Linked DNA regions of Rattus norvegicus. The protein of the gene in region 1 purifies or fractionates together with the protein of each later gene. This does not show direct contact. Links are inferred from orthologs where the notes say so. Each region holds a gene or a part of one and is shown in the gene's direction. Other genes may lie near its edges. The genes, in order: Pin1, Raf1 and Polr2d.

The links.
Region 2: the proteins of Pin1 (region 1) and Raf1 purify together in Homo sapiens (co-immunoprecipitation; 3 studies listed by BioGRID and IntAct, with this or other methods). This does not show direct contact. The link is inferred for Rattus norvegicus from reciprocal best matches to the Homo sapiens genes PIN1 and RAF1.
Region 3: the proteins of Pin1 (region 1) and Polr2d purify together in Homo sapiens (co-immunoprecipitation; 3 studies listed by BioGRID and IntAct, with this or other methods). This does not show direct contact. The link is inferred for Rattus norvegicus from reciprocal best matches to the Homo sapiens genes PIN1 and POLR2D.

The regions. Positions count from the first base shown.
Region 1 is NC_086026.1:27,464,331-27,468,517, forward strand, and holds the start of Pin1 (peptidyl-prolyl cis-trans isomerase NIMA-interacting 1), read left to right. Parts: upstream 1-1,311; 5' UTR 1,312-1,317; coding exon 1,318-1,375; intron 1,376-4,187. UniProt on the Homo sapiens protein: Peptidyl-prolyl cis/trans isomerase (PPIase) that binds to and isomerizes specific phosphorylated Ser/Thr-Pro (pSer/Thr-Pro) motifs.
Region 2 is NC_086022.1:150,364,293-150,367,936, reverse strand, and holds part of Raf1 (RAF proto-oncogene serine/threonine-protein kinase), read left to right. Parts: intron 1-628; coding exon 629-731; intron 732-1,020; coding exon 1,021-1,178; intron 1,179-2,733; coding exon 2,734-2,832; intron 2,833-3,644. UniProt on the Homo sapiens protein: Serine/threonine-protein kinase that acts as a regulatory link between the membrane-associated Ras GTPases and the MAPK/ERK cascade, and this critical regulatory link functions as a switch determining cell fate decisions including proliferation, differentiation, apoptosis, survival and oncogenic transformation.
Region 3 is NC_086036.1:23,691,235-23,695,420, forward strand, and holds the start of Polr2d (DNA-directed RNA polymerase II subunit RPB4), read left to right. Parts: upstream 1-1,343; 5' UTR 1,344-1,398; coding exon 1,399-1,471; intron 1,472-2,810; coding exon 2,811-2,991; intron 2,992-4,186. UniProt on the Homo sapiens protein: Core component of RNA polymerase II (Pol II), a DNA-dependent RNA polymerase which synthesizes mRNA precursors and many functional non-coding RNAs using the four ribonucleoside triphosphates as substrates.

The DNA.
Region 1 (4,187 bases):
TCCTCTTGATTACACAGCTTTCATGGCGGTATCCCTTATAAATGTAATAGTTTTTTAAAGTGATTTTTTAAAAATTCTTGAAACAGGGATTCTCTGTGTAGCTCTGGCTGTCCTGGAACTCACTTTGTACACCAGGCTGGCCTCAAGCTCAGAGATCTGATTGCCTCTGCCTCCTAAGTGTAGGATTAAAGGCGTTTGCCACCAGCACTAGGCATAAAGTAACATTTTAAAATTCTTATATATATGAATTGCCTGCATGTATGTATGAATGTGTACCACATGCAGGTCTGGTGAATTGAAAGGTCTAATGGAAGGGCAGCTAGTGCTTTAACCACTGAGCCATCTCTCTAGCTGTCTTTTTTTTTTTTTTTTTTTTTTGATTCGTTCATTCGTTTGTTGAGACAAGTTTCCTGTGTAGCCTTAGCTGTGCTGAAATTCACTTTGTAGAGCAGGCTGGTCTCGAACTCAGAACTGCCTGCCTTTGCCTCCTGAGTACTAGGATTGAAGGTATACATTAACACACCGTTTTCCTCAGACTACCAGTTGACTAAAACCGGTCGTTGGAGCCGCCCACCCTCTCCTACCCCCTTTCCTCGGTCTAGTGGTAATGCTCTCACCCATCAGTCACCTGCCTAGAAGTCAGGAGGAGCCCATGGAGAAGGAATAAGTCGAAGTAGGTTCTAAAAAAGACATGGAAAGTGGGTGAATAAACCAGTGAAATGGTTCGCCTTGCAAAAACCGAAAAGGACTGGTTTCGCTTTGGACATCTGGAGGAAAAGGTGGGAAGAAGAACTCAAAAGCCAAATTTAGGCTCTGAATAGTTAGCCTTTTGTCACCAAGGCAACTGCATTGCTATGGCAACGGCAAAGTACAGCAAAAGCACCCATGTACCTTAGTTCCAGCTGGCCACTTCCGCGTGGATTCTGGCGGACCTCCGAGAAAGGCTTGAGAAGGCCGGATTGGCTGCCGCAGGAGCCAGTCAAATAAGCACTATTTTATCGGCTAAGCGCACCAAAAAGGGTGGAGCGCCCTTTTGACGCTTAAAGGGAGCCGCTTGCCGGGTTGGAGCATCCAATAGACGTAGCTTCCAGACGAGCCAATCAGTAGCGGTGTTGGGAAGGTGAGGGTAGTGGGTGGAGGGTGTGTGTAGGGGTGGTCCAGGAGGCCGCGGGAGAGCCCAATAAAAGGCTCGAGAGCTCGAGGCGTTGTGCTGCCGTCCAATTGGCGTCTCGATTGGATGAGCCAATCAACAGCGGCGCTGGTCTGGCGCGGGGTCAGAGCCGCGGAGGCGGAGCAGGCGCTGCGGCAGGAGGGAAGATGGCGGACGAGGAGAAGCTGCCGTCCGGGTGGGAGAAGCGTATGAGTCGCAGCTCAGGTACCTCTTAGGGGTCGCCCAGGGCCCGGGGCGAGGCCTGGAGGTTGCGGAAGTTGGGCTTGAGCTCGCCTGCACAGGCGAGTCGCATCACCGTCCTGCTTCGGGCATGGAGATCTGGCCTCCTCCGCGGCATAACGGGCCCGGAAAGCCAGATACTGAGGTAGGAGGTGGGGCAGGCACAGGCGCGCCCCGGTTCTCGCCCACCACTGGGCCCCGGTGCTCTGAGGCGACGAGTCTGCACCTCGGAGTTCCCTTGAGAGGAAGATCGGGATTCGGTGCAGAGGGCGTGGGCCGCCCTGCTCTGGTTTCTCGGGCAGCATCCGAGACACGTGCCCGCTCATCCCCCTATCGGGACCCAGGGACAGTGATGGCTCCTAACCAGGACAGTTCGTCTCTGGGTCAAGCATGGTGCCAAACTCTTTGAAAGACTTCAGTTCTTTTACAAGTCTACGCCGGTGTGTGCTCCCGCTTCCCCTCCCCCTCTCCCTCCTGCCTTCTCTCACTCTCTCCTTCCACCCCTCCCTCTCTCTCCCACCCACCTCTCCACTCTTCCTCTTCCTCCTATCCCCACCTCCACCTCTGTTCCTCCATCTCCCTCTCCCTCCTCCCTCGCTCCCTCTCTTTTCTTGGTTCATGCTCTCCTCCCCCCCACACCCCGGTTGCTACCATCTTTCAAGAAAGGAATTGCTCTCATATTTCAAGAGGGAGAAACTGAGGCCAGACATGGAAAGAACTCATCTGATAATGCAGTTCAGTCACTGGGAATGCCCTAGATTGCAATGATTTTTTTTTTTTTTTGATCTCAAATGTCCCCTTCCCAGTGTCAGTGGCAACGCCTAGAGTAGCCTACAAGCATTTCAGGTAGCCAGGGTCAATGCAACCTACAGAGCTCACTCAAAATTCTTAGTTATTAAGCATCAAGGTTCTGGACACTGCATATGTTAACTCTCTGAACCCAGCTAGGTTTAATGTCATTCACTTTCCACCTTTTTATCAAGAGTGGATGTGGAAAGGCATTAGACAGAGCCTCATAAAGACAGGTTACTCTTGAATTCCTGATCCCCCTGCTTCAGCTCCCCCAAGTGCTGAGATTACAGGCATGCACCACTTTGCCCAATTTATTTATTGAAACAATCTTTACTAATAATATTAGTAATACTGTATTTAATGTATGTGCATGTGAAGGTCAGACAATCTTAACTTGCAAGAGTTTTCTTCCTTCTACCATGAGTAGATTGTGAACTCCGTCAGATTTGGCTGCAAGCACTTACCCATTGAGCCATTTTCCTTTCTAAGATGTGTGTGTTTGTGTGTGTGTGAGAGAGAGAGAGAGAGAGAGAGAGAGAGAGAGAGAGAGAGAGAGAGAGAGAAAGAAAGAAAGAAAGAGTGCGCAAGAGCGAGCATGAGCGCTCAGACGATACTTATCCAAGGATGACCTTGAACCTCTGGTGTTCTGCTGGGATTACATCACACAGAGGTAAAGTCTTGCTGTGTAGCCCAAGCTTGCTTCCAACTCATGATCCTTGTGCTTCAGCCTCTCACGCACTGGGACTAAAGTTATAAGCCTTTATGCTCTGATGTCCTTATTCTCTTGTCCCAGTCTACAGATGAGAAAGCTGAGGTTCAGGGAAGGTGACCTGACAAAGGTTTTAGTTGGATTTATCCCCAGAGGCTTTGGGCTGCTCCATTCCTAGGGTGGGGTTGTGACCTCTAGCATAAACTTGTCTCTAACTGGGTGTGGTGGCACACAGCTGTATTTCCAGCACTTAGGCAGAAGCAGGAGGAGATCTGGTTCATGGTTGTCCTGGGCTACGTACACTTTTTTAAAAAATACATGTATGGGTATTAGGCTTGCATGTGTATTCCATATGCATGCAGTGCCCACCAAGAAGCCTGAAGAGACAGTTGTGAGCCTCCACATGGGTACTGGAAATTGAACTCCAGTCCAATAGAGGAGCAGATGGTGCTGTTAATCTCCGGGCCATCTATCCAGCCCCCATAGTGAAACTCTTTTACACACACACACCCCTATACCTGCCCCTCTGCTTAGTTATGCTTGTCATTTGTTCTCAGTAGGACTATGAAAAGCCCTTCCTTCATGGGTAACATCCAGCTCTTCTCCTATGCTAGATCAGCTGTGTAACCCAGGTAGACTCAGCCCTTGGAGTGACCCAGAATCTACTGGGTCCTTCCTTCAGGCTTCTGCCATACCCCTTCCTCCTCTTTTACCTTTCACTTTTTTGAGTCCGTCTTGCAAACTTACTTTTACTGGCTTCAATCTGCAGACATCCATCCTCTTGCCTCAGCCTCCCTAGTGCTAGGCAAACAGCATGTTCCACTAAGCCAGAGTTTTCCCTTGAGGTTTTGATTTTCCATCTGTCTCCTTTATGCCCTCACAGCCACTCAGATGACATCAGGCCCTGAGTAATGCTACCCCTTGCTCTCTGACTTAGGCTACCAGTGCAGGGGTTAAGACTGGAGCTTTGAGGGCTGGGGATTTAGCTCAGTGGTAGAGCGCTTACCTAGGAAGCACAAGGCCCTGGGTTCGGTCCCCAGCTCCGAAAAAAAAGAACCAAAAAAAAAAAAAAAAAAAAAAAAAGACTGGAGCTTTGGAGTAACTTTCTCTGTTTATGCACAAGACACAACTGCTGCTGCTGTGAGCAGAGGAGGGGGAGGTGCTGCCTGGGTTTTTGTGGAACGAAGCAATGGGTAAAAACAGTTATACTCTACCTTTTGGTGATATGTGATCCTGGGACTTGAACCTAGAACCTCACAATGCCATGCAAGCACTGATCCTCAGCCCATGCTGTCT
Region 2 (3,644 bases), on another chromosome or scaffold:
TAGTACTTTAGACAGATGCCATTTCCCTACCTTGCATAGGGGATTATCTTAAGGAATGAATTATTGCTCTTTGGGTAACCAGGGGAGTGGCTTGTTGGCTTCTGGAAGCTGATAGGAGGGGCCTGAGTGATGTCATATGTGCGGTACATTTGGAAATATTCATCCTCAGCAAATGGGAAGAGGACCTGAACAACAGTTTTTGCTTAAATCACTATGGTTTCCTGTCTTCCTTGTTCTGGACACAGAAAAAGTGGTGTCAGTCAATTTTAAAGACTGTTGTGCTCCTGTAGACTTGTGTTTATTATAATTTCTACAACCAACTTTTAAGCCTGTAGGTAATGCACAGCACATGTGTTTGTGTTGTGTGTGTGTTTCAGGTGGAAGTAGGTGTTGAACACTGACCTGTAGTGGCCTGGTAGGATTTTAACATTACACAGTCATTCTTGTCATGGGATTGTACTTCATTGTTTAAAGGACACTTTTTTAGGAGCATACACTTTGGCTTATTTTTTGGGTGGAACCAGAACACCTGTGAGGTGTGCTTAGCCAGCATGCAGTAGACAGAACTGCTCTAATGTCTTAAGCCTTGTCCAGTGCTCTCTCATGTTATGCTTTGGGTAATTTTTAGTAAGAAAGCACGCTTAGATTGGAACACCGACGCCGCCTCTCTGATTGGAGAAGAACTGCAAGTGGATTTTTTGGATCACGTTCCACTCACAACTCACAACTTTGTAAGTTTCAGCTTCTCTCTTTCTTTGCCATTTTGGGCTCTCTACGGTAGATCGTTGACCTTCCTGAAAAGCCCTGGGTGCACATTAGTTGCTTTCAGCCCTCCCTGTGCTGTCATGTATAGCTGGTAGTTTAGAGTCCGCTAACAGAGGCCCCTTTACCCTGAATCTGAATCTGACAGTGTCGGAAGTGTGATTCTTCCCAGTGGGGACTCTTGAGGCTGGTGAAGACAGTGCTATATTTGCTTGTCACTCGAGTTCTCACAATCCTATACCTGCTTTCTTGTCACAGGCTCGGAAAACGTTCCTGAAGCTTGCATTCTGTGACATCTGTCAAAAGTTCCTGCTAAATGGATTTCGATGTCAGACTTGTGGCTACAAGTTTCATGAGCACTGTAGCACCAAAGTACCTACTATGTGTGTGGACTGGAGTAATATCAGACAGCTCTTGTAAGGCACTATGGTTTTTTTCTTTGAAAAACATGTGAGGGTCAGGTCCAGACACACTTTTGACGGTGTTCATTACACATTTTCAATGTTAAATCTGAGTTTTAGGTTTGCTAAATAAATGATTGCTGTGAGTCAGAAACAATCTACTTTAGAAGCATAATATAGTTCTGAAATTAGTTATTCTTAGTGTGGTGGTTGTCTAGCTGTAAAATAAACAGCTAGGGAGCTGGGGGCGGGGATGACTCAGTTGGTAAAGTGTTAACTGAGCAAGCATGAGAGCTGAGCTTGATCCCAGCCCTGACATCAAAGCTGGGCCCACAGTGTAATCTCTGAGTTGGGGAAGTGGAGACACAGCGGTAGCTAGCCTGGGGTTTGCTAGCCAGACAGTCTAGTGAGTCACTGAGCTCTAGTTTCAGTGAGAGATCCCATCTCAAAAACTATTGAGGAGGACTCCTAGCATTGACCTCTGGTACTCACACAGTCATATGAACTCAGACACAGATGCACAAACACCACCACAAGCAGGCAGGACCCATTGTCTGTCAAATTAATACTGACACTGCTTTGTCAAGGAGATGAACAGGGACATGGAAATTGAAGGGTGGGGTTTTCTCTCTTCACCTGGGCTTCAAGTGGCCAGGGCTGCAGGTTATATCCCAAGAAAGCAGAAAGTGGAGTTGGTGCTGCTTCCTTCCTCTCACACTGGGGAGCAATGTGTTTGGGCCTCAGACAGTTTGGGTATAAAAGGTTGAGACTCTCTCTGTTAGGAGATAAGCCAGATACAAAAATACATTTCACAGAGAGAAAATGATTTAAATGCATATTTTAAATTACACTTCTTAGAGACTTTTTAAAACTTGTGTTGAGATTATGAAAAGTCAGTTTTACCCTTATTGCAACATGTTCGGAAAATGAAAGGAATAACATTTTCATTCACAATGGGAGGGAACCTTTTAGCTCCCACAGAAGTCACTTGTTGGTTCTCAGAATACTCGAGTAGCAGAAAGGCATGTGCTTGTGGCCAGCGCACACCTCACACCCTTAGGACTGTCACTAGCACAAGTCTTCTCAGTTCCTTCATTTCAAAAGAGTTGGTGGGGATAACATGAGATTGCTTAGCACCAGGACTCAGCATTTGGAATGAATGTGCCTGGTTAATAGTAATCCCACTTCCCCTTCTGTTTTACTGTTGGTACTAAATATAATGAATTTGTGTGTGTGTGTGTGTGTGTGTGTGTGTGTGTGTGTTTCAAAGACAGCAGTTCCAGAAAAGCTGTATGTGGTAGAGGTTGTGAGATGTTGTTCTATCACTTAAGAAGCATTGTGTAGTGTAGCTGGACAGGACCACTTTTCTAGAGGTATACCCTGGCAGCTGGTTGCTGTCACTCAGCCTGTAATGCAGCCCTTCAGGTTGATGGTCTTCATAGTAGGTGACTGACTTTAGGAAAATGAATCAAGGGAAGTTGGGTTTTAGCTTTGGGTTTAGAGGCAAGGCAGGATGGTTTCTCTATGAGAGGACCAAATCCACAAACTAATCTTTCCCTGTTTCTTCTAGGCTGTTTCCAAATTCCACTGCAAGTGACAGTGGAGTCCCAGCACCACCCTCTTTCACAATGCGTCGGATGCGAGAATCTGTTTCCCGGATGCCTGCTAGGTAAGGTTTTTCTTTGGGCTTTTGGAAAGTTGCATTGATCGGCTAGGTTGTCAGCCTGAACACAAAGAAGTCCCTCTTCATGTCCTGTCTGCAGACCCTTGGCTGTTTCTGTGGAACACCAAGTACAGTGTTCGCCACGTTCTCTCTGTGGTCCCAGTGCACTTACATTCTGGAAAGTGATTTTGACGCAGTCCTTCTGTTACAATACCACCTCAATCTCACATTACACATATAAAAAGCTTGAATTCTGTCTTCTTCCCGTTGTGGTGAATTAAGCATCTGTGGAAAGGGTCCCCAAAGTGAGTATAGCAACTAAGAAGAAAGCAGGCCTGAACTTGTAGATGTTTCCCCAGGCTTAAGACCCGGGTAGTTGGAGGTAGATCTGGTTATGGTCAGAGTTCGCCTCTAACTTGTCTGCACTGCTTTCTGGCTCTAAAACTCCAAGTTCAGTGAGTTACATCAGTCAGTGACACGCAAGTATTTAGGACCTAAGGTAAAAAATCTACATTTTTGTCTAAAATGTCTGATAGATAATCAGCTATTATTTAATGATCCCCGTAAAGCTACTATAGAACTAAAGGCAGCATTCAGAACAAGGAATTTGTGCTGAAATATGTGTTTATGCCTGACTTGAATGAATCGAATCCTTTTTGGTAATTTGAACCACATTCAAGCAAAAAACAACTTACCTTGAAGATAAGGAGCTAGACTTAGACTTAGAAAACCTAAATGTACAATTCCTAATGCAAGGTGGCATTTCAGTGAGGGAACAGCCTTCCCTAAATAAGGCCAGGCCTGTTCAGGATGGTATG
Region 3 (4,186 bases), on another chromosome or scaffold:
GATACACAGCAGTTTTGTAAAACTCATTTTATTTACAAACCAAAAGACTACCTATTCTTGGACCAGTGAGATCATGCAGCAGATAAAGGCCCTGAGTTCAATCCCCAGAATCTATGCAAAACTGGAAACAGAGAACAAATTCCACAAAATTATCCTCTAATCTCTTCTGTGCACCTCTGTATATATAATAAAAATACATTTTCTTGTCTTGTAATAAATACTTCTATCAATTTTTAAAAAGATTTATTTTCTGTGTATGTGAAGGGTGTGTATGGTGTGTTTCACCTCCAAAAGAGAGACCAGAAAGGGTTTAGATCCCTTGTAGCTGAAGTCACAGGTGTTTGTGAGCCATCTGGTGTGGGTGCTGGGAAATGAACCCAGGCCCTCTGAAAGCATCAAGTGTTAACCACAGAGCCACCTCTCCAGCCCATTTTTTATTAAGTTACAGGGTTTACTAGTGTTCACTAATGACCCAAAAACTGGAGAAGTGTTTGTCCCCCTTATTGTATAGACTTTTGTTTCTCTTTAAATTGAAAATATCACTTTTTCATTTAGCTTTCTACTTATTCAAATGTCTCAACAGATATGATAAAGGGTTCTCAATATTAAACTTCACCTGCTCAGAATTGTTAAATACACAGGAACAATTTAACAGGATGGTATGTTACCTAAACTGGCATGGATTCTTGGGAATTTGCTAAGTAGCCACGCCTCTTTGTGAATTTTTTTTTTTTTTTTGAGACAAGATCTCACTATGTAGCCCTGGTTTTATATCACTTTGTAAACCAGGCTAGTCTCAAATTCAAAAGATCCACCTGCCTTTGCCTGCCTCGGGCATGCTAGGATTAAAGGCATGCGCCACTACAAACTGATCTCCTTCAACTCTTGATCCTCGCGCTCAGTGATTGATTCATTACCACCACACAGGGGTTAGTCTTTTTTTTTTTTTCTTAAGACACAATTCAATCATTGAAAGAGATTTCAGTATGTTTCTGTAGTCACCTACCCAGCTTTTCAACATAGGACATTCCTTGGATCAGCCACTTAGTTCAGTCCTGCACCTCACTTTCTTCTGAAATGGCTTACTTGACGCTCCCAGGTGCCACGGCAATAGTGTGTTGCCGAAAATAAACACTTTAATCTCCAAGCAGGCAGCACAGAACCACACCTCCAACGACCGGAAGCCGCTAGACTGCGCCCGGACCGCCCCTGTCGCGGGCAGTCTCGCGGGTTTCCCCTAGTGTGATAGCAGGGTGCCTGACCTACCGTCGTCCGCCCGCTTTCTCGGCCCCGCCCATTCACTTGGCCCCACCCCGGAGCCGGATTGGTTCTTTTCCTTAGAAGAGCCCGTCCGTGCGGCTTCCGTCTCCGGCAGTGTCTGTGGCAGTGCGCAGGGCGATGGCGGCAGGTGGAAGCGATCCTCGAGCTGGCGACGTAGAAGAAGATGCTTCCCAGCTCATCTTTCCCAAAGGTAGTATCCGGGACAGTTCGACTCTGAGGTGACATTGTCCTTGAGTTATAGTCGTTATCCGTTCCCTGCCCACAGGGAGCATTCGGGGCCGGCACGGGGGATTGATTGGTCAGCCCGGTACAAATGAACCCTTTCGTAGTTAATTCCCCTACACCCAGCAGTTTTGTTTTTGTGAGAGCGTCTAATTAGGTATCCTAGGCTAGCCTCCACCTTATCACATTCGTGCCCTTTCCTCTTGAGTGCTAGAATTAAAGGCATGCGCCATCGCTCTTGATTTTTAGGGGGAGTTAAGCTATGCCTTTTCCTGTCATGCAGAAGATCTGGAGCAGAGGTCTCATTTCAAAATTGGCAGCCAGTAAAAGCTGAGCTATGGTTCCTCTCACAGTGCTAGTCAAAGCGTTTCAAGATCTGTGGGTCAGAAGTGCTCTCTGCCCTGGCCTCTGAGGAGAGATGCTGTTGCCGTTGGTTTCTGAACCTTCGTTGTAGCTTTTCGAGTTAGGAAGAACGTTTGAGAGCAAGATGGGTTCCGGTTTGGGATGTCTGGTACTTCCTTTTGTCGGATGTGTGCCAGCCTCTGTGCATAGTGCTGTTCCTGCTACTAAACTAGTCTAAACTAGTCACCTTGCCCCAGGAAATCAATCCCCTGTCTCTTCCTACCAACTGTTAGATATAGGAACCCTCTGTACCTGTTTTGTGGGTTCTGAGGATCCTAACTCTGCTTCTTACACTGGAGTGGCAAGTACATTATCCACTTAATCATCTGCCCAGCCCCAGCAAGTGAGGTTATCTTCTGTCTTTTGTGTGTGTTTTTAATTGAGATGGAGAATCTTTGTTTTTAAATTTTTATATATAAGGATTATTTTGCCTGCGTGTAGGTCTGCATGCATGTGAGGTGTCCATAGAAGCCAGATGTACTAATTGGACTTAAAAGATGATTTCGAGCCATCTTGTTGGTGCTGTGTGTGGCAGAACCCTTATCCTCTAGAAGATTAGCCAATGCTCTTAAGTGCGGAGCTGTCGTCTCTCCAGCCCTTATGTCACTGTTGTAAAATTTATTTTTATTTTAATTATGTCTGTGCAGGTATCTGAGGAGGGGAGAGGTGCTATGAGGTGTCTGATGGGGTGCTGAGAATTGAACTTCCTTCGAAAGAGCAGTGCATGCTCATTTCTCTAGCCTTCTGGTTTCGTTTGTTTGGTGTTTTTGAGTCTCTCTGGCTATCTTACAGCTCATCAATAATAGACCAGGCTGGCCTCAAACACAGAGATCATCCTGCCTCTGCCTCCCAAATGCTGAGACTTTGAAAAGAGTATTTTCAGTTCACATTTATTCTTCTTCCAGAGTTCGAAACAGCTGAGACGCTCCTGAACTCTGAAGTTCACATGCTTCTGGAGCACCGAAAGCAGCAGAATGAGAGTGCGGAGGACGAACAGGAGCTTTCAGAGGTTTTCATGAAAACCCTGAACTATACAGCCCGTTTCAGCCGGTTCAAAAACAGAGAGACCATTGCCAGTGTTCGTAGGTGAGTACTGAACATAAGCCCAAAACTAAAATCTACTTATGTATGTGTTATGGGAGTTTGGCTGCTTGTATGTCTGTGCACCATGTGTGTAAACACCCACAGAGGCCAGAATAGGGCGTTAGCTCCCCAGGGCTGGAATTACGGACAGTCGTGAGTCACTGTGTAGGTGCTGGGACTCGAAACCCAAGTCCTCTGAAAGAGCAGCTGGTGCCCTCAGCTGCTGAACCGCATCTCCAGCCCTACAAAACGGTTTTATTATTATAGACTCTCGTGAAAGACAGAGGCTGTAGGATCCAGGAGTTCAAGGGCATCCTTAGGGGCATAGTAGGTTCAAAGCCAGCCTTGATTGCATGAGACGCTGTTTTAAAAATGCTAACAAAGCAGGGGCCGCTGAGATGGCTCAGTGGGTAAAACATGCTTCAGCCAAGAGGTGGTGGTGCACCCCTTTAACCCAGCACTCAGGAGGTAGAGGCAAGCATATCTCTGAGTTCGATGCCAGCCTGGTCTATAGAACAAACAAACAAATGCAACCAAAAGTGCTTTCTGGGTAAGTCTTAGGACCTGAGCTTATATAGAACCCCAGATGCACCCAGAAGCTCTGAGAATGAATGAGAAGTTGCCTTCTAAGTATGTATGCTTACGCACTTACACATACACACAAATGGCTAAATAAACAGACCACACACAAATACTTAGGGGAAAAACAAACAAACAAACAAAAAAACCCTAACTGGGTATGCCTTTAATCCCAGAATTTGAGAGACAGAGACAGGAGAATCTCTGTTTGACTCCAGCCTGGTCTACATAGCAAGTTCCAGGACTACATAGATAGAACCTGTTAAAAAAAAGTAATCAAGGGCTTGAAGCCCCCACCCCCACCCCCAAATTTTGCCTACCAGAAAAAAGGCTCTCAGACTTGACTCAGTCAAAATTTTCTCCACTGCATCACAAATTCTGGGGTTACTAGTATATGCCATCATGCACTCGCTGCCCTCCAGGTACGATTTCTTGTATTCATTTTTATTTTATTATTTTTTTTATTGGATATTTTATGTATTTACATTTCAAGTGTTATCCCCTTTCCAGTTTCCCCTCTGGAACTCCTCTATCCCATCTCTCCAACCCCTGCTTCTACGAGGGTGCTCCCCCACCCACCCACTCCCAGCTCACTGCCCTGGCATTCCCCTATACTGGG